Linked DNA regions of Rattus norvegicus. The protein of the gene in region 1 purifies or fractionates together with the protein of each later gene. This does not show direct contact. Links are inferred from orthologs where the notes say so. Each region holds a gene or a part of one and is shown in the gene's direction. Other genes may lie near its edges. The genes, in order: Gli2 and Sufu.

What was found.
Region 2: the proteins of Gli2 (region 1) and Sufu purify together in Homo sapiens (affinity purification with mass spectrometry; 3 studies listed by BioGRID and IntAct, with this or other methods). This does not show direct contact. The link is inferred for Rattus norvegicus from reciprocal best matches to the Homo sapiens genes GLI2 and SUFU.

The regions. Positions count from the first base shown.
Region 1 is NC_086031.1:32,710,834-32,721,660, reverse strand, and holds the start of Gli2 (zinc finger protein GLI2), read left to right. Parts: upstream 1-5,242; 5' UTR 5,243-5,556; intron 5,557-10,827. UniProt on the Homo sapiens protein: Functions as a transcription regulator in the hedgehog (Hh) pathway. Functions as a transcriptional activator. May also function as transcriptional repressor. Requires STK36 for full transcriptional activator activity.
Region 2 is NC_086019.1:255,193,856-255,204,586, forward strand, and holds the start of Sufu (suppressor of fused homolog), read left to right. Parts: upstream 1-5,333; 5' UTR 5,334-5,503; coding exon 5,504-5,685; intron 5,686-9,453; coding exon 9,454-9,588; intron 9,589-9,594; exon of another isoform or gene 9,595-10,731. Other genes in the region: Actr1a (alpha-centractin), read right to left, coding at 3,943-3,990. UniProt on the Homo sapiens protein: Negative regulator in the hedgehog/smoothened signaling pathway. Down-regulates GLI1-mediated transactivation of target genes. Down-regulates GLI2-mediated transactivation of target genes. Part of a corepressor complex that acts on DNA-bound GLI1.

The DNA.
Region 1 (10,827 bases):
AGCTTCACTACATGGTCCTGAAACTTTCGATGTAAATCAGGTTTTCCTGGAACTCTTTATGTAGACCAGACCATTTGGGAATTCACAGAGATCTGCTTGCCTCTGCACCTTGAGAGCTAGGATTAATGGTGTGTATGCTACCATGACTAGTTACGTTTTTTAAAAATGGTTGTATGCATTGTGTCAGTGTTGGGGTGTGTGTGAGTGCAGGTGCCCACTGAAGTGAGAAGAGGATGTTGAATTCCCTGGAACTAGAGTTACAGGTGGTTGTAGCTGCCTGGTGTGGGTGCTAGGTAACCTAACTCAGGTTCCCTGTAAGACCAGTCTGCACTCTTAATCGCTGAGCCATCTCTCCAGTTCCTCTGTGGTAGTACATATTTATATTAAGAATAGTTCATTTCCATCCCTTGGTGCCAGCCAGCCTTGAAGCCTTCTAGTTGAGTCCCCAACACCATGGAGCAGAGTCAAACTGTAGCTTTTCTTCTTCAAAGTTGTGTGTTTACGCCATTATGTTCTGGTGATATGCTCCCTAGTTAGTAGTGTAACTAACTACGGTTTGGTAAATGACAGAACACGTCGATGACAGTTGTCTCATGAGACTGTAGCATAGCTCAGCCAGCAGAGTGTATTGGGAAAGCGGGAGGATTTTAAGTTCAGTCCTCAGCACCCAGGTAAGAAGCTGGACCTAGTAATGTCACAGAACATAGAACATGTAATCTCAACTGTGGGAGCCAGAGATTGGCTCCCTGGGGCTTGCTGGCCAGCCAGGCCAGCCTAATGGGTGAGCCCAGGTCCCAGTAGGAGACCCTGATTGAGAACGCAAAGGTGGGCCTGAGGAGAAGGCTCAGCAGTTGGAACATTCGTTCCTAGCGCAGAGGACCAGGTTTCGAACACTCACATAGCAGCCTACAGTCATCTGTAACTCTAGCTCCAAAGGATCCAATACCCTCTTTTGGCCTCCACAGGCACTGCACACATGTGATACACAGACACACATGCAGGCAAAACACTCATGTACAGAAAGTAAGCATAAATAAATCTAAAAATAACCTCTCAAAATAAACAACCCCTCCCAAAGTAAAGGTGGATGTCTTCTGAGGAACAACACTGATGTGTTGTGTTCTTGCCTTTGTAAATACTAACATACACACACACACACACACACACACACACACACACATATGTACATACTTACACATGGAGACAAAATGACCAAGGCAAATTGTAAAGGAAAGCATTTAATAGGGGCTTGCTTACAATTTTAGAGGGTTAGTCCATTATCATAATGACAGGAGCAGGGGGTGGGGAGAGGAAGGGAAGAGAGGAGGAGGAAGAGAAGGGCAGGGGGGGTGTTGGATGGGTTTTGAAACCTCAAAGCTCACTTCCAGTGACAGACCTCATCCCACAAGGCCACGCCTCCTAATCCTTCCCAAACAGTTCCACTCACTGGTGACTAAGCATTCCAATGTATGAGACTACAGGGAACATTCGCATTAATATCATCAAGAAGGATTAGAGAAGCCATGTCCCACTTTCGTCATCTTTGTCCATCTTTCTGTACTTAACTTCCCCAGGACAGGCCTCTCTGCCCATAGGTCCCATGCTCTCTCAAAGTGCGTTCCTTGTCTTTTGTCTTTACCCACTTTGTGGTTATGAGTTGGAAGGATGGATGCTGTGAGTGCTACTCACTGTGGTGGGTGTCACGACACTAGCGCCGGCTACACAGAAAGCTGCTGAAGGAAGTTGGACTTAACTAGCGCCCTGCACTGAATATAAACTCTGGGATGAGCATTCAGTGTCCCAGTGTCTACAAGGGCTTCTTCTGCATTCCAAACCTCTCTTCCTCTTTCTGAGGCTCCCAACTTCTGACCATCGAGGGACAGTAGGACGTGATGTTTGCACAGCTCCCCTCGAACCCCAAACATTACATCCTCATCTCCTCTATGACTTTCTTGCCAAAATAAGCCAGAAAGGTTTGGTGAAGGCCTAGATTCCTGCAGGAGTTGAACTGGTCCAAGAAGAAAAACAGAGGGAAAGCAATCTCTCCCTCCGGACGTTGATTTGTTTAAATTTCTCCACAAACTTTACAATGCAAAGAAAGCAAGAGAGACAAGCTGGTAATGAAGTAATCAGCTGACTCTGCGAATATTCCAGCCAGGAGAAATGAGTCCTGGCTTCACGGGGCAGATATGAATGGGGTCATTAAATGCAGCCAAGGGAGGGAGAGGGCTTACTTTTGCTATCTATGTCCAGAAAGCTCAGCAGAAGTGAAGAGAAGCAGCTGGGAGGAGTGATGGGTTGATATTCTGAGGTTTACAAGGAAAAGCCTGTTTCAGGTATCTTTTTGTTTTTCTGGTTTTTGTTTACATGTATTTGGGGGGGGGCTCACATGTCACAGATGGTACGTAGAGGTCAGAGGACAATCTGCTGGAGTCTGTCCTGTCTTTCACTTATGTGAGTCCTAGGGATCCGATTAGGTCAGAGTAGATCCATAGCAAGTGCCCTGACCTCTGACCCATCTCCATGACCCTTTATCCTACATTATCCATATTGGTTTCTGTAAATTTTTCTTTTAAGTATTACTCTTTTTTTTTTTAAAGACAGGGTCTCATTATGTGTCCCTGGCTGGTCTGGAACTGGCAATGTAGACCAGGCTGGCCTCTCATCTCAGATCTGCCTGCCTCTGAAGTCTCAGGACTAAAGGCACATGCTGCCTAACTTAGGCTTCCTCTGAGATTGAAAGAGAGTCCATCCTGCAGGGAAGCTCTTTACACAGGAAGGTAAACAACTCAAAATAGCTCCAGGAAGGCCCTGGAACTTACCAGATTCACTAGGCCCCTCCCTGCCAGAGTAAATAATAAAAGTTGAGAGTCTCCCTCAAGTGAAGAAACAGAGCTGCAGAGGAGTCTCTAAGACCAGACCAGCTGCCTGAGAGAAGCAGAGACCAGCCTGGCCGTCGGGAAGAGGTTTAGCCCAACCAGACATCTGCAAAGGACACTCCGGCCTATTGAGCTGTCTGGAGGCTGTGCATGGGTTCCCAGCTTTCTGAGCTGTCACCATGCTGGGGTGGGCTTCGGTGACGCAGCTGTCTTTGAGTGATTCCCGCTCCTATGAGTAGCTCCTTGCCCATACCCTGCAAGCAAAAACCTCATTGGTTCACCAAGTCAGACTTTGGTGGTGTCCATACTTTGAACTGTTGTGGGTTCCTATCTCGGGGCTGGGGTGTGGAGAGGTAAACACGCACTGTGGCTCCCCAGGAAAAGTTTTGTCACAGCACACTACGAATCGTCATACCCCTCCAGAAAGTTTTACATTTGAGCACACTGCCACTTCCCCACTCCTTGGCTTCCAATCTGCGAGGCCTACTTTGAGGAAAACAAAGTTGGCATCAAATCGTTGTAGTATTTTATGCCTCCCCCTCCCTCAGATAAAGAAAAAAAAATAGTTGCTTCTTTCATTTGAGGGAAAGAGAAGGAAGGAAGGAAATGAAGAACGGGGACACAACACTTCCCCATCTGTTAGAAAGTGAAAGTCAAGGCCAATAAGGTGACTAGGTCAATACAGTGCTTGTGTGGGCCTGGGTTGGATTCTCAGCAGTTACAAGATGGAAGGAGGGAAACAGCCCCCTTCTGCCCTACCCTCTGACTGTTGCCAAAGGACTGTGACCTCACACCCTGCCCCATAGAATAAATACATGGAAAAAAATTTAAATGTAAAACTTAGGGGCTCAGAGGTGGACCTCGGAGGATGGCCTTGGGTTCTATTTCAAAAAGTACGGAGATACTGACTTACAGAAACAAATAAGAGTTAGGGAAGAGCCCATAGGATAATTGCCGTCCATCAAGAGGGATTGATTCAGTGAGTAAAATGGGCTGAGAAGGACCCATGTCCTCGGCAGGGTAGGATTGGTCTGGAGTCTCGGTTCTCTTGCATTTTAGACAGGAGGGGCTGGAAAGAGATGCTACCAACATCCTCACACACCTACTTAACTGTACCAACCTTAGATTACCGTGGTCAAGTTTTACAGCTTCATCAACCATCAGCCATCCATCCCACCTTTAAAAGAAGGAGAAGACCCTGTGACAAGTTAAATAATACAAAGTAACTAGAACACAGGGTTTCCACAAACGTCAGGCAGAAATATAAAGAAGTCCCATGGTCAGCTTTCTAGGAGCAGAGCCCAAGAGGAAGTGGAGTCCCATGGCTTGGGAGGGCACGGTTCTGGACTGTGTGGAAGAACCAGGGCTACTTAGGCAAACGCGTTCATGCACAGCTTCATCTACACTTTGGCCTGCAACTTCAGTGAGCCTAATTCTTCCTTCTCCCTCTGTTGAGTTCTGATTACTTCCATCTGGCTGAAGCAGCTTCAGTGGAGTCTCCGAAAAAAAAAAAAATAAAACAAAACCCCCTCACTACAAAACATATGCAGTAAGCCTAAGGCTGGCGTCATTTGTCGCCAGCGTGCTCTCAGATGGCGGCAAGAGCGAGCCTTGGCAAGGGGCGTCTGGGTTCCCCCCCCCCCCCCGCCCGGGCACCTGCACTAGCTGCACGGGCGAGGAGGGCCCGCGTGAATCCAGTCTTGCTTCCCATCCCACGTGTGTCTTCTTCCTGCTACGGCGCTGGAGGGTCAGGGAGTTTTGGGAACAACCGGCGGAGGGCTGAGGGGGCTGAGAGGAAAAGGGGAGTTCAGATATTGAAACCAGCAGTCGCAGCTCCCGAGCTCCAGAGCTCATCTGACTTGAGTTAGCAACCCCCCCACCCCGGCGCCTTAGAAAAAGTGTTTGAGACTGGCGTGTGCTCCCGTAGCTGGAACTTTCCAGTAGGAGTGCTTTATTTCCTCCGAGCTAGGTTGGAAGAATCTGCGATATTTCCAGCTCCTCTCCTCCAGAGTGGCGTCTGGGTCGTTATCCTCGCCCCCAGTCCCTAACTCCCAGGGTTCTCTGGTCCCCAACTCGAACTTTCCAGGAGGGGTGCTTTCCTTGCTGGAGCTCTAGTGGAGGGGAATCTGTGTTCGCCCTCTCGCTAGCCCCATCCAGGGTGGTGTTCCCCCCGCCCCCATCCTCAGAGGCGGGGTGCACGCGGCGGGGGCGGACAGGCTAAGGACGCGACTATCCGGGTGTGCCCGTGCTCGGCGCGCGGGGGCGCTGCGCCATCCCGGAGACGCTGATGGATTGCAGGAGTGCCGGCGTTCGCCAGCCGAGGCAGCACGGCTCCGCGGACTTTTTTTCAAACTCCTCTCATCAATGAGACTTCGAGGAGGAGCGGGAGGCGGCGGCGGCTACAGAGGACGCGGAGGAAGGCGAGGAGGAGCCAGAGGAAGGAGCGCGGGCCGTGCGTAGCTTCGCAGCCTCCGGGAGCTGCTGGCCTGGTGTCCTTTGGGACTGCCGGGTCCCCCGCCCGCCTTGGTCCCCTCTTCTGCCTGGCCAGCCCAGCCCCGGCGGCCCGAGACCCGGCACTCGGCAGCCCCACTCCAGCCAAGTTGGGATGGGGCCCTACAACCACTGCCCGGCGCCCGAGAGGCCACCTGCGTGCTAGAGGCAAACTTTTGTCTCCTCGGTAAAGTTGCATTGGCTTCCCCACCCCCTTTTTTTCTTTTCTTTTCTTCCTTTCTTCCCCCCCCCCCTTACTCTTGGTGGCGAAGCACTTCCTAGCCTGGCCAGCTTCGGCTGAGATGCTGTGAGGTTTTCGGAGTGTTGCCGGAATCGAGATCGTGACACTGATTTTAGGGGGTCGGTCAGAGAGGGCAACTCTGATTATTGCTCTGGTCCAGCAGCGGCAAGACTTAAGGAGGATCTTGGGGATCAGAACTCGTGTCTGGGGTCGATTTTATTACCGCTGCCCTCCACTTGAGGGATAGTGCTTCTTCTTGGGTTGCTCGGGTAGGCCGGTCTTTGACCGGTGGCACCGCTCGGAGCCTGAACTGTTTGGGGGCGACGTGGGGTCTGGGGTGCGCCGAAGCTCCCTTAGATGGGCAGTTGGGAGCGCGCCCGTGCGGTGTGCTGCAGCTGCCGCCGGCCACTTGGAAACTTGCAACTCCACTTCTCCGCGCTGTGAGTCCGCGTCCCTGAGCCCAGTCTTTTCTTTCTTCCTCTCTCCTTCTTTCCCCCTCGTTGAACCCTGTTGCCCCTTCCCCCCTCCACCAGTCTCTGGACCTCGGTTCTGGTTTCCTTACCTTTCTCTCTTACCCTAGGTCTCCAGATCCCCTTGACTTCTCGAATGGATCCACGTGTAATCCTTCGCCGAGGGATCGGTTCCCCCTACTCCTCGCTTTCATTCTAGCCCCCACTTAACACCCCCCAAGCAATCTCTCAACAAGTATATTTGCTGAGGAATTTGAAAAATCCACTACTGCAACTTGATCTGTGTGTGATGGATGAGGAGCGGCGCGGACAGAGTTGGGCGCCAATCCTATTAAGGGTTTAGAGAGAGGGGAACGTTTTTTTTTTTCCTCCGGGATTGGGGGGTGGGGGGAGGGACCGTGTGCTTGAGTGAGTTCGAGAGGACTCCCGCCGCGTCGGGAGCTGGAAGTCCACCCACTGGGCTTCTTTTCAGTCCCGCAGCAATTGCTCTCATTTCCTTGGAAACCTGACTTTTAGAGCTTGAGGACGCTAAGGATGGAGCCCTTGCGCTTCACCTCGAGTGACCTGGCCACAAAGACGCAATGAGTTTGTGGGGATCCCCCAGAGCGCCTCTCCTTCTAGGCTCTCTCTTTTGTGTAACTGTCCTGTGGTTCCCAGAGCTGATCCCAGTTGGAGCAGGGGTTCAAGAGACTTCTCTCAGTAGTTTCATCCCTCAGAGGCTGGGAGGGGATGGGTTCTGTACCTCTCTCTTCCCCGGTTGGGGCATCCTTCATCTTGCTGTTCGGTGGCCCGATGTCCTGGGCCCCTTGCCCCTCCGCCCTCACTGGGCGTGTGAAGGTTTAATCCCCACAGCTTCAGATAAAGGGAACAGTTGTAAAACGCTCATATGCTGTTTGCAGACGAGGCTCTGGGGGATGTTGGAGAATTTGAAAGTAAACGTTTCCCTCGCAAGCGGCATAAAATAGTGTTTAAACAAATATTGTATTGGCATGCTCCGGGGGCTCGGTGCCAGAAAAGAAAAGTAAATAAACTGTGAAATCCAAAATATACAGCACGGGGGGGGGGGTAGCGGGCGGAATAGGCGGGCTTGTCACAAGTCTCCCTGATGTTATCTGTTTGTTCTAGCCACCTCTCCTTCGACCCCCCTCCCCGCCCATTTCCTCACCTTGGCTGCGGTTTCCCTTTTTGAGTAGGCTTCCGTGTGTCTTGGGGTCTGGCCCCTTCAAGAGCTCAGTCGGTCTGGAATGGAGGAGGGAATACACTGTGTTCCTACCTGGATTGGTCTCCCTAACTAGGAGGAAACATTCTGGATGCTAGCTTGCTTTGAGTTTTGAGGCTTTTGCCTTCTTCCAGCTTCTGTTCTATCCTGGGGCCCTAATCCCAGAACGCCCAGTCTAAACCAAGCAGGCCCCTCCTGCTGAAGGTTTCACTTCTAGCATCTCTACATCTTGTTTTCCCTTTTCTCTAACTTGCTGCTTCTCTCTAGAGGGTTCCAGGATTTAGAAATGGCCTCTTCTGGATACAGTTTCTACTCAGGTGTTGCCTGCTCTACAGAGAGCTCATCTGATGAATTTTAATATTAATTACATGTAGGAAGATTTAGGATGCCCGCCCCCCAAATGCCATGAGACCTTTCCTGATCCTAGCGGGGCTTAGAGTAACACAGGAGAAGGTTCTTTGTAATAGCGAGTCCTGTAGGAGATCGGCTCTTGCTTCGCCTCCCGTGTCTGGGAAAGCAAACATCTTTTTCCTACCCAGGGCTGGGCTCATCCATGAACTAATTGGGACTGGGATTGATAAATCTACATCTGTGCTTGGGTGGGAACTGAGCTGACATGGTGTGGGAATATGCACCGAATTCAGACTGACTGAGGTCTGCTCCCAAATTCAAGTCGGGCCTGGAAGGAGGACCACCTTGAAGTGTGTCCGGAGTTAGCCAGGAGCTTCACTTTCTCAAGATGTTCCTCTGGCCTTGCAGGCTTGGGAGAGCATTGAGCACTGAGCCATGGGGAGAGAAGATGTGCTTTTGAGTTGCTTAATAGTAAGAGGGGCGTGTGTGTGTGTGTGTGTGTGTGTGTGTGTGTGTGTGTGTGTGTGTGGTTATTGGACACAAGCTCATTTCCTGGTTGCTGTGGGGGTCTCAGGGCCTGTGTCCTGCAGCTGGCTTGTTTGCACTGCAGCCTGAAAAATACACAAATACTTCACTCTTTTTTTGTACTTCTACAAGAGCCCTGTACACAGTGCAGCCCCTGGGGCTGGATTAGTGAATCCGGGACAGTCTGCAAGCAGGCAGACAACATTGGATATTTGCCTATACTAAGTACTCTTCTTCCCTCAGCATTCCCCCCCCCCCCCGAAAGCTTCAGTGCCCAGACACTAGCAGTTCCCTTTAAATGAGACCATGAGGTTGTTGTATGCACTGTGAATGCGGCTGTGACCCCTCACACCCAGCTGGCTTGTTAAAGCTCAAAAACAGAGTCCTAAAACCTTGTGGGTGCAGCTGGCCTTTGCTGCTCAAACCGCAGGGAACAGGGTGGGGCTGCTTGCCCAGTGTCTTCAGCTGGGGGTCTCCGGTGGGAGGTCTACCTGTACAGTGCCTGTTAACTGGCACATCAGGGGCCACAAGGCCAGGTGGACCTCACTGTGGGCAGCTGCAGCTGCTGGGCCTGGGGGCGCCCTTTGAAAGGGAACCCCAGGGAAGCAGCTCCCTCCTTTCTTCCATTCACTAAGCATCAGAGGCGTGGACACACGAAGGCCAACTAAAGACTCTGTTCTCAGATTCTAGAACATCAGGAGGGGCAGAATCAGTGATTGGGTCGACAGCCAGACTACCCAGATGTTTGGTGCTGGGCTTACTGTCACTTTTAAAGAATCTGGGGGGAAGGGAATGAGTACTTTGGCCTCGTTTGCTAATAGCAGGTATGGAGTGAGGTCAGTAGCACTGGCTGTCCTCTGACAGGACCCTAAAGAAGGCCACCTTCTCTGCCATTCTGTGGCTTTCAGGTAAATACGCCAGCATATTTAGTACTAATCATGTTTTCGAATCTGAGGGCTTGTGGAAAACGTAAAGGACTTGGAAAAACTTTGGGTCACTATTTTTAGATTTTTGAGGGTGACAGAACATGGGAAGATGACCTCTTTTGGTGAGGCCTACTGTCCCGAATTCTTCCAACAACTGAAGAAGTCGTGTTTCTACTTAGGTTTTCCCTCTGGCGTTTTACCTAACATACACATGCTGGGAAATAACCGTTAAGATGTGACCAGGCAGTAACCATTACATTTGTTTCTTTACTTTTCTTTTTTTTTTTTCCTTTTTTTTAAGACTTGGGTTTAAATAGAACGAATTAATGTGGAGATTTTTTTCTTCTTTCTTTCTTTTTTTTTTTGGTGTGTGTTTCACATGTGTGATTTTTAAAAAGGCAGGTTTCTGGGAAGTGTGTTTTAACCGAGTGCTGGGTTTCAACATTAGCATAGGAAAACCACTTTTAGTGCTTTGGCTATTGTCTTGAATGGGGAGTTGGTACTAATGGGAGGCAGGCTGAGGAGGGTGATGGCCCGTTGAGATTCTCCCTGCAGCCTCTGCTCCTTCGCCGCCTGCGGATCTGGGATCAGATATCACTTTTATCTTGCCTTTTCCCAATTCTCTGCCCTTTTTGATGCGGCCACTTTTGTCTGCGTTTATTGACTGCTTTTGTCTCTGCAAATCTGTGGAAAATTTAATGAACCCAAAACCAGCAAATGAAATAAAGAGAACTTTTTAATTCATTAGCAGGGGACTAGGATTGAATCACCTCTTTGCGTGCAGAGGGTCCCAGTCCTCCAGGGAGGGCACTCCAGAGGGTGGCCCCACTACAGACTGGATTCCTATCCAAGGGGACGTGAAATGCAGCTTTCAGGCCCGTGGTGGTCAGTGTTGCTGCAGCCCGCAACCTTTTCCTCTAGGATCCAGGCTCTGAGGGGTTGGCATGGGTGGAGGAGAGACAGCCTTCACAGCCTGTCCCTGCCCTCAGCTTTCCCTGGGACACAGTTAAGTATCTCCCTACCTCTAGACCTGGCTTTCACCCTGTAATTATGCAAAGCCCCGGGTGTGATTAAGGCTGCTGACTTGGCGGGGCTTGGAGCCCTTTTTCTGTATGAGGGTGAACTCTTGTTCTTTCCTCAGTCTTACTGGGCTCTCATACCTCTGGGCTGTTGTGTGTCTCACTTATTCTTTCTTCCTCGTTTTTCTACCCTCTCTCCTTCCCTCCCTCCAATCTCTTCTGTCCTTTTCTCCTTTCTACCACCTTGTCTTCCCTTCCTCCTGCCCTTCATAACTTCCCGTCTGCTTTCTTTTCCCCATCGTTCCTTTTCTTCCTGCCTCCACTTTCTTCTCTCCCCGCCCCCCTTCTCGTACCCTCTCCATCCCTCCTTTCCTCTCCTGCTCCTCTTTGTCTCTCCCTCCTCCGCCCCACCCCCCCCCGTCTGCCCCCGCCCCGCCCCATCCCGTCCCGCCCCGCCCCGCCCCGCCCCTCCGAGGCTCCGTCGTCCCCGTGGGGCCGCGCAGGCCGCGTGTCCGGGCGGCGCCGAGCGCGCCCCGTCCGGGGAACATTCCGTGCCCGAGCGCCCGCGGCCTCCCACCTGCGCGCCCGCCGGCTCCGCGAGCGCGAACAATGGCTACATTGTTGCGGCGGGTGGCTAGAGCCGCCCGGGACCCTGCTCGTGGCGGGGTAGGAAGAAGGCCAGAGGGCCAGGTCGTGGTGCCCGCCTG
Region 2 (10,731 bases), on another chromosome or scaffold:
GGTATAGTACAATTCAATTTTTTTTTTTTTTTTTTGGTTCTCTTTTTCGGAGCTGGGGACCAAACCCAGGGCCTTGTGGCTTCCTAGGTAAGCGCTCTACCACTGAGCTAAATCCCCAGCCCCACAATTCAATGTTTTTAGTACAGTCAGAATTGTATATAAACAGTTTAGCCATATAGCCAAGGTTGGCCACAAACTTGTAATTAATAGAACTTTTAATCACTCAAAAAGAGGTCCTGAGTCCCAAAACGGTTCTTCTGCGTCAGCTGTATCCATTCTTCTAGCACTATGCAACCAACCTACTTGTTTTTGTAAACCACAACAAACTTTATAGTAACTGGCAATGGTTACAAATGCAAGACTGCATATGAAATAAACTTTCTATTTTTCTGGAAAAATCAGAAAACCTGTTGGGTATGTATGGCTTTGAGATGATACACCTGTCATCTCAGCCTCCAGGGGACAGGGAAACAGGACCTGAAGCTGAGTTTTGTCCACACAATGTGTCTCCGTGAGCCAGAGCTACACAGTGAGAGCCTTTTTTAAGAAAAGAAAAAAGGGCCAGAGAGATGATCATCTATTAAGCGCATGTGTTGCTTATCCACAGGACACAGGTTCAGTTCCCAAGCATCACTCAGAAGCTCTCAACTGACTATTAATTCCAGTTCCAAGGCATCCGATGCCCTCTTCTGACTTCCTCAGGCACTGCATGCATGTGATACAGGTATTTAAATCTCAAATAAGGAAAAGAAACCAGGGGCTGAAGAGATAGCACATCAGTTAGGAGTACTTGCTGTCCTTCCAGAGGACTGGAGTCTGGTTCCTAGCATCCACACTGAGTGGCTCACAACCACCTGTAATTCCAGCTCCAGGGATCCAAGGCAGGGGAGCTGTGGGGATGGACAGACTGCTCCTGCACTGCTAATGCCAAAGCAAAACTGATAACACATTTATTTATTTATTTATTTATTTATTTATTTATTTATTTATTTATTTATTTAATGTATGTGAGTACACTGTTGCTGTCTTCAGACACACCAGAAGAAGGCATCAGATCCCATTACAGATGGCTGTGAGCCACCATGTGGTTGCTGGGAATTGAACTTAGGACCTCTGGAAGAGAAGTCAGTGCTCTTAACCTCTGAGCCATCTCTCCAGTCCATGATAACTCTTTATTTTAAGTGTGTGTGTGTGTGTGAACGTCCTGTGTGTGGGTCTGTCTATATGAGTAAAACAGCTCTCAGACCAAAGAGAATTCCTGCCCATCTGGAGCTTCAGTGACAGGTTGTAACCTGCCTATGTGGGTGCTAGGCATCAAGCTTTGGACCTCTGGAAGAGCACCAATCACTCTTAACTGCTGAGCCATCTCTCCAGTCTGAGGTAGATCATTTCTATGCATTTTTTTTCTTTCAACAACTAAGAAAAAGGAGACCTAACACACAGGAACTGGCTAAAGACTTAGTTGGGGGGTTGGGGATTTGGCTCAGTGGTAGAGCGCTTGCCTAGGAAGCGCAAGGTCCTGGGTTCGGTCCCCAGCCCCGGAAAAAAGAAAAAAAAAAAAAACAAGAAAAAAAGACTTAGTTGGTTTTGTCTAGATATTAACATTGAAAACAAGAATTCACAAAGACCCCGTCTCAAACAAACGAAAGAAAGAAGTGTTATTCATCATTTACAGCATTACATTAGCTGAAACCCCTCATCCTGACCGGGTTTCCCCCCACCCCCACCTCCGTACCGAACACTGGACATCTTTGTTGACATGACAGCAATCATTAGTTGTCTATTTACCACTTAGCCAATAAGAAGGCCTCATTTTGTACACAGTGCTACCAGGCCCTAGGTACTGTGTAGAGTTGGGTGTAAATCGAACAGTCGAGGGCTGGGGAGTTGGCCCATTAGTTCAGAGCACTAGCTACAGCCCTTTGGGAGGACCAGAGTTGGATCCCTTCTGCACTGCAACCATGTTGGATAGCTCATAACTGCCTGCAGCTCTATGAAGAGGAATTAATGACCTCTTCTGGCCTCTAAAGGCACGAACACACACAAACGAGAGAGAGAGAGAGAGAGAGAGAGAGAGAGAGAGAGAGAGAGAGAGAGGGAGAGGGAGAGGGGGAGAGGGGGAGAGAGGGAGAGAGAGAGAGAGAGAGAGAGAGAGAGAGAGAGAGCATAAGGGGCCTTGGGCTGTGTAGAGTGGGTAGAGGGATTAATAAAAAAAGAAGGATCTCACCCTCTTATCCACAAGGGTTAAAAAGTCTACTGAGGCTATTGAGGGAGACAAAACCAAAAACAAACCCCCAAAATAATGGGTCTTATTTAACTAACCTTGCTCCCATTCCCTGCTCCCAACAATGTCACACCTTAGAGGCCGGCTTCAAACAATGACCTTGCATTTCTCATTTTCCTGTCTCTACCTCTCTAGTCCTGGGATTACAGACATGGACCACCACACCTGCTTATACACTAGGTTTATGCTGTGCTGCGGATGGAGCCCAGGATTTCATGAATGTCAGACAAGCTCTAGCATCTGGGCTACACCCCCAGCCTCAGCCTCCCCCTTTAAAAAGGCAGTTCATAACAAATACAGTAGCCTTCCTGGAAGGACTGAAGAACTTGGAACCAGATTTCAGTGTGAGATTTGGATCCTCAACTCCTAAAGTGAGTAGTTTAAAAAAATCTCTCCAAGCCTCCTGTTCCTGCATAAACTAGAGAAAGCAATCTCTATCCACCTACAATACAAAGAAAAGAACCTAGTGGTATGTCCACGTTCCCAGCATCACAGTTACTCTGAAAAGGTCAGCCTCGGACAGAGGGAAGTGGTAGTTTGTCTCAATGGAGGGACCTGGAAAGTGAATAGGAAGATTCCAACCAGAATGGGAGGGACCAAACCTTTGAGTGAAATACAGAAACTGAAGACAATCGCTCCTCCTCATAAATGGAACACTTAGGTTCTTTCTATTTGTCCTTATCGAAGCATTTGTGGAACGGTGCTTAGCAAAGGAATGCTATTTAGATAAGGCAATGAAGTTATGGGGCACCACAGCTGTATGACCTTGATCACTTCCACCTTCGGTGTTTGTTCTGTCGGTGAGAAGAGGTGCAAACTTTCTCCTTAGCCATTCACTTTTTGGGAAGTTTCAACTTGCATATCGGTGAAAAGCGCCCTGGAAACGCTAGCGTACTTGACAACCACTGTGTCTGAAAAATCTCCCTGTCTCTCAAGTGGGCACTGTAAACAGGAGAGCACCTTGCCTTTGTCACTCCCCTTTCTTTTTTACCTTTACTAACTATAATTTATAATCACAAAAATAACTGAAATCCTATGGCCATTTATGGTACCGGATTATCCGGCCCCACCCAGATACAGTTTACTAAATCGCCCCTCCAGCTCACACCCAAGGAAACTGTACTCCTTAGCCGGTGGACCAGCCATCGCCTTCCGCACCCTGAATTGCTGAGCCAATCCCTACAGTTATAGTGCACGGCACCGCCCCTTACAGAAGGGAAACACCTTGGCGGCCGGAAGAGCGACAAGCGCCGGAGCCAATAACTGCAGAGTGCTGTTCTAATCGGGCAAGGCCCAAGGGCGGGACCAATAGGAGAAGATAGACAGCAAGAGCAGCCAATTGGGTGATGGAAATCCAGAGCGAAGGCGGATGCTAAGCTCTAGGAGAACGGTTAAGGCCCCTTAAACCGAGGGTCCAAGGACCCTTCTTGGACTACAGCTCTTCCCTTTGTCTACCTTCAAATTCTCCATCACATGGGTGTTGGCTGGCCACCCTGCCTTCAAACTATGGATGTGAGGAGGACCCGGGCGGCGGCAGCTGAACCCGCCTGACAGGCCGGGCCAGTGACAAAGAGCTGGCGGCCTAGGCTGAAACCTCGGAAACAATCCTTCCTGGAGGAGAACACAGTCCCTTCAAAGATAGGAAAGATGCTACTCACATTGTCGATCACAACAGGCTGGTTGGCGATCACATCGTAGGACTCCATGGCAGAGGAATCTTTCCCTCCGAGGAAGGAACTGCCAGCCCGGTCCGCAGCAAACGCCACTGACACGCATGCGCAGTCTAGTCGCCGGTACTGGGCGTCCAGGGAGCGGCCCGACCTCGCCTCCGAAGAACTACAATCCCCAGCATTCTTTGCTCCAAACCGAGTCCCATCCAGATCGGGTTTAGGAGATTGGACAGTGTATTTCCGACATATGGTGCCATGGGGTTTGTAGTGTCTGTAGATTAAAGAGCCACAATGTTGATGATTAATGTTGCATGACTGGATTTGAGGCCCCTTCCAAGGGGTTTCCAATACACTCTTTTGGAGTCTGAAGTACTTGTGAATAGTTGGGATTGGATTTGTCAGTAGTTCAGGGGCGGTTGAATTTTACAGATTATTTCTACCTTTCAGCCATTCCTTCACTTGGGCAATATAAACCATTACAAACATCTGTGGAACTGGAATGTCAGTGGTAGAATGCTTGCCCGGCACTTACAAGAGCCCAGCAGCACCGGGGGTGGTGCTGCATGCCTTTAATCTCACCACTTGGGGCAAAGGTAGCAAGATCTGAGTTCGAGGCTAGCCTGGTTTATAGAGTGAGTTCCAGAACAGTGAGGGGCTATACAGAGAAAACAAACCTGTCTCGAAAAACAACAAAAAGTAAAACGAAAAGCAAAACAAGACAAAACCGTGAAGCAAAAGCCAATGGAGGTTATCAAAAATTACCTGTAAGTTGGATGCCACGGAACTACTGGTCTAAAGAGGTTTAGAAACTTGCAGCTTGCTAGGCAAGCGCTCTACCACTGAGCTAAATCCTCAACCCCAGGTTTAGAAACTTTTATCATCTTTCTTGAGCTTGACCTTGATGGATGATAATATCCAGGTGAAGAGAAAGAGTAGGTAAATGCTTTTCAGCTAGGAATTTTCCCCAGGCACTTTTCGTGTTACTCTTTTTATCAATAGTTCCAAGAAATAATTAGACTTGTAATATATTAATAATAATGACACAGTCTGATGATTTAATCATTTGTCAAGCTTATCTTAAAATCGTGTGTTAGCACCATGTTAAGCGCTTCTCGGGCGTTTCTTAGAGCTTTCATAGGACCCTAGCACCTCAAGGTACGGCGCCTCGGTTTTAAACTGGGTTCCTCCTAACACTAGGGGGAGGCCAAGATCCTTGGGACACTCCCAACACAGGGGCAGGGAGGCGGAGTCTATTGTCAAGTCACGCCTTTCCCACTTGTGACTGGCAAAGACACTAGCCAATGGGTGCCAGGCAAGGGCACGCCGACGCCCCACCCTCTGGAGCTCCCCGCGGTCCCACAGCATCCTCTGGCCGACGTCTTGAAGGCTCCGACTTGGGCGGACGGAGCCTCGTGCGCAGGCGCGGAGTTAGACCTCGCCGTAGCCCCCATCGCCTCGGGGACTCTTCATCCACAGTGGGTCCGCTGGCCCATAGGGGCGCTTTCCCTCCTCTACCCTCCCGGGTTCCCCGCGCGCCCTACGCGCCCCAATGGCGGAGCTGAGGCCTAGCGTCGCCCCCGGCCCCGCCGCGCCCCCGGCCTCTGGCCCTAGTGCCCCCCCGGCCTTTGCTTCACTCTTTCCCCCGGGACTCCACGCCATCTACGGAGAGTGCCGCCGCCTCTACCCTGACCAGCCGAACCCGCTCCAGGTTACCGCTATCGTCAAGTACTGGTATGCTCTGGGCCTCGGGAGGACCGGGGCTGGCCGGGAAAGCTTCGAGCACTGGGGACGAAGTAATTTGCAGAAGTGGGAGGAAGAAAACGGTCCAAGTACTTAGGAACCAGGAGCTTCCTGATGCTGTGGAAGGAGTTAGGACAGAAGTTGGGAATGGGGACAAAGGGTTAATGGATCCCTTGAGTAGTGAGGGGTTAACCGGGATTAGGAGAACTGAGAACTAGGGGTGTATACAGGAACTGAGGGGGGACGTGTGAGAGCGAACTGTAAACGTGGAGAAAGGAGGGGGCGCCTGTGGTGGGTCATTAGTGGGCTTGGGGGAGCCAGGGGGCGGCTGGAGTGGAATGGGGGGGAGGTAAGGCGGGGCCTGGAGAGCATTTGAGAGGGCTTTGGAGGGTACGAGATCGCGTAGTCTAGGGCGGTCCGGGGACCAGGACGCCCCTGTGGGTTAGGAGGGAGTAAGATGTGAGGGCATTGTGCCTTTGATGCGTGAAGAGTTGAGGAGACAGCTTTCTTTTTTTCCGGGAGGTTCCCGAACGAACGCTGGAGCTTCTGTCATTCAGTGCGAAGCTGTTGCTCTTGAAGTTTGACAGAGCCGCTCTTCCAGATAAACTTTTTGCTTACTCTGCACACTTCTCTTTCTCCCTGCAGAGCTTGCTTCTGACTTTGCAGCTGCTTTTGCTTTAGGTCGTTAGTTAAGAACAGGTTTCGGGAGGGCCAAGCTTTGGCTCTGGATTGAAGGAGATCGTAGCTTGCCACGAGGTGCGTGATGGAGACCTGAGTGGGCAGGAGGAATGAAGTGTAGCTTGAAGAAGCGCTTCCTGCCTTGCCTTCAGGATTTCAGCCGAAGTTTAAAGTTGCCCAGTAACGATCAGGTTCCAAACGGGCTGGCTGTCCTTGGGGTAGAAATGGTGCTCTCTAATCTCCTATTCTTTTTGCAACCCGTTTCTTCAAGTCAGCCTGAATTCAGACAAGTGTTATGGGACAAGTCCTCGTGGTCTTTCTGCACCAAAAATAGACTAAGAGATGGCCACATTCATGTAGGCAGTCACTGTATTAGATGACCCCTTTCAGTGGATCCCGGAAAATACCTGGAGCAATGGCTTGGGGAATTGGCAAAAACTGGACCTGAAGTGGGGGAAGTGGATGTCTTTACAGCTTACACTGCTTTTAAAGCCGAGTCTTTTTCCTATGTAACAACCTCTGATTGCCTCTGGAGATGGGCGACAGGCTATACAGGACTGAGGCTAACTCCCTGTGTCAGTTATGTACATGATGGGAAGGAAACTGACAGCCGGGAGGACCTGGGGACCAGCCTCATCTGGGTAGCCAGGAGACATGCCGGCAAGGCATCTGTGCAGGGCAGCCTGTTTCCAGGCTGAAGAGAGTTTCAAAGAGTGCTTCTGAGCAGGAAGCAGCTCTTGCTAACCTAATCACCCATTTCAATTGCACCTCTGTATTAGTTATGATGAACTTGTCCCACGTCATGAGAAAAATGGGGCTAGCCTTGCCGTGCTGTTTGCTCTAATCTTGTGTAAGTGTGAGGGAAAAGTTTCTGTGCAGAATATGGGGCGCCTGGTTTTATATCACCTACACGGCCATCAAGACAGAGTCGTGCATTAGAGGTATGAAACCATTATGCAAAAGACCAAGGGTAATTATACCACTTATTTTTTTTTCTACAAGTTTGTAGTGAGGCTGTATCCCCAGAGGTAGACTAGCATGTGATGACAAATGAAAAGACATGTACAGTACTTTGTGAAGTAAGAAATGCCACCTAGACACGGGAATCTAAGAGGAACCAGCTTAGTAATGGTTCTTTCTAAAACTCATAGGGATTTGCAGAATTGAGATACTGAAGTTTATTGCTGTCCCTTATGTTTAGTATCTTACAGCAGTATGACCCACTAAACTGCTTGCGTCTGGCTATGGGCTTTCTTTGGGGGTTGAGGGGTAGCATTTTAGCTAGTGGTCCCTGGCCACCAGGAATACTCTGACTGAGATTTTCAAGCAAGACAAGATCAAAGTAGGGAGGCAGAGCCTTGTGTCTTATCCTGCAACTACCCTATAGAGAGAAAGAAATCAGGTGTTGAGGGAATTGAGGTAAGGGATGTTCTGGGCCATTGGACTGCATCTCTTCCTAAGTGTAAAATATGATTTTTCCCCCATTCATCTGAGTGCAAGTATAAGGCTAACTTTGCTTGGTTCGTGGCCTCTTCTTGATGTGACCTCTCTTGGGAGACCGGCTGTGGGAGCCACAGCATGCCTGCAAGCAGAACAAGGAGAGGAGACACAGTGCTACTGCCTGTTGCTGCATGGACCTGGGCTGCGTCAAGGGCTGTTGGGGATTTGTAGCAGGAAGTTGGAAAGAGTGTGGAGTCTGTCTCTTTTAGGGTTCTACAGCCTTTTCTCTCCTCTATCCATCCCCAAACCATTTCCAAACCCAGCTGGTTATGGGTTTAATCAGATGATTTCGTGAAATCACAGTTAAAGACGTAGAGATCTGTCCCTCTACCTAACTCCCTCAGGCGAGATCCTAAGCTATTTTAGTGACTTTCTTTCTTATGACTTCTATAAATAACTTAGCCTCCCTCCTCCCCCAAGAATAAGGATTTCAACAAAGGCTAGTAACATCCTGGCAAAGAGGATGAAACCAGACTTACTGGTTTTAAAATAGGGTTTGAATTGCATGGTTCTGGCACACTTGCTGGGATCTCTTGTACCATGTCTTTTATTTGGTTGTTAGCTTTTCCTCAGTAGTTTAGCCCACTTGCAGAGTGCACTCCTGTCCATGTTCCAGGGGCAGGCAAAGGCAAACTCCACTCTGTGGTCTGTGGAGTGGTCCACGTGAGGCAGCTCGAATGCCGAGTTTATGGGCTCAGTGCACACTTTCTTCTGCTAAGGGGTTTCATTTAGGGTATTTCCCAAGTCTACTGTGTTTTCCTGTCCATTCTGAGGGAGAGCAGGTTTCGTTTGTTGCTGTTGGTTTTGTTTTTTTTTTTTAAAGCACTAACTGCTAAAAGAGCTTTTACTGAATTAAATCTTCAGCTGCCTCTCTGTTGGATTTATGGGGAGATCTAATGTCATCCTTAGGAGCCTTAAACTGTGAAATGTCCCAGCTCTTCCTTTGAGCCAAGTGCTGGCTGGCTCCCTCTTTAGGATGCAGGTGCTCACAGGGCTCAGCCTGGCTCACACTACAGGCCTCGTGCAGAGCCGAGCTAGCTGACGTTTGGACTTCATCGTTTGCAGTGACTAAGTTTTGATCTGTGCAGACCGGAAGCTTTGTGTGTACTCAGAAGCAACAACAGTAGAAGGCGCAGTACAGTCTTTCAGGAGCTAATCTGTCTAAAAGCGGGTGTGGAGTGGAGGCTGTACTTTCAGGAACGATGTCCACTGGCATGCTCCGCACAGTCATTCAACAGAAGCCACTGACTGACGGGTGCATCTCTTACCTTGAAGGCTGGCATGTTGACATAGATAGATGAAGACTCACTCCATTTGGAGTCCGCAACTTGAAACAGGCAAAAGCAAGATGGGTAACCACTAATGTCTGTTTTATTTCTAAAAGAGGCCCTGCCTGTTGGAGGGAAGGGGAGGGAACTTCTTGAACTTGCTCATCTCTACAGAGATTTTTGCCTCTCTTTAGGTATCTTGCACCATAGCTCCCTCTAGGACGGGGCTTTCAGGTTTGTAGAGCAGAGCCTCTTACTTGATAGTTCCTGGTTTCCAGGTTTGAAGTGACACCGTGTGTTTTGTCTTTTGCAGGTTGGGTGGTCCAGACCCCTTGGATTATGTAAGCATGTACAGGAATATGGGGAGTCCTTCTGCCAACATCCCTGAGCACTGGCACTACATCAGCTTTGGCCTGAGTGATCTCTACGGTGACAACAGAGTCCACGAGTGAGTGTGTGCCACCTGTCTTTCCTTAACCCTAAGCCTGTTTCTGACGTTTCATTGAATATGTGTGATAATGTTGGTTCTGTGGGAGTAACACTTTTCCATGTCACCTCTCTGTTTCCACCTTCTGCCTGTGTTGGCTAGCCCAGAATTGGCTATGTAGGCCAAGCTGGTCTTGAATTTGTGGTGGAGGGGCGGCTTGTAGAATTGCTTAAGCTGGTCTTGAACTCTCCATCCTCTCTCCCCAGTGGCAGGGGTTGCAGATCTGTGCTGCCAAGTTTGCATTCATCGGTGCTTGGGTTGCCTGCTTCACGTGTTTAGCCCCAGGCTGCTATTCTCTGCCCTGTGCCTTCTGAAATCCTACCCCTTTCAGGGACAGAGATAGTTTAGCCATGGCTGCTCATACAGAGGACCCAGGGCACCCACGGGGTAGCTCACAACTGTCTTTTAACTCTAGTTCCAGCAGATCCAGGGTCCTCTTCTGGCCTCTGTAGGCAGTAGACACATAAGCAATAGACATACATGCAGCCAAGATACCTGCACACACAAAATAATAGAAAATTAAAATTTTTTTCTTACTCTAATTTCTCTTTATAATCAACTAATACATGTTTTAATTCCCATAACATATTTTGATACCAAGTGAAATATAATTAACTTAGTATTTAGTCCTCCAAAATTACAATTAGGCTAATTATAAAAGCTAACAACATTTTTTAAATCAGTGATTAGGCACCAGGGACTCTTGTAGCCATTTATACATCTGTGTCACTAATGAATTTAATTTCAGCACAACACTGTAAAACTACTAGGTAATACTATTCACTCCACTTAGAAATGAGAAAACATAAAGAGCCTCTATAACATAAATCTTTTCTCAGTGGTGTGAGGGCCAAGATTGATTGATTGATTGACTGGGTGGTTGATTCAGAGCCAGGGTTTAGATGTAGACAGTCTGGCTCCATAGGGGAGACTCCTTCAGGATCACACCCAGGTCCTCAGGCACAGTAGGTGAATGCCGTATCGTGGAGCTCCGTCTTCAGCTAAAGCAGTCTACAGTCTTCAGGTCTTTTGAGACAAGTCCTTAGTATGTAACCACGACATGCCTGGAATCACCACATGAAAGTATTTAACACAGCAACATAG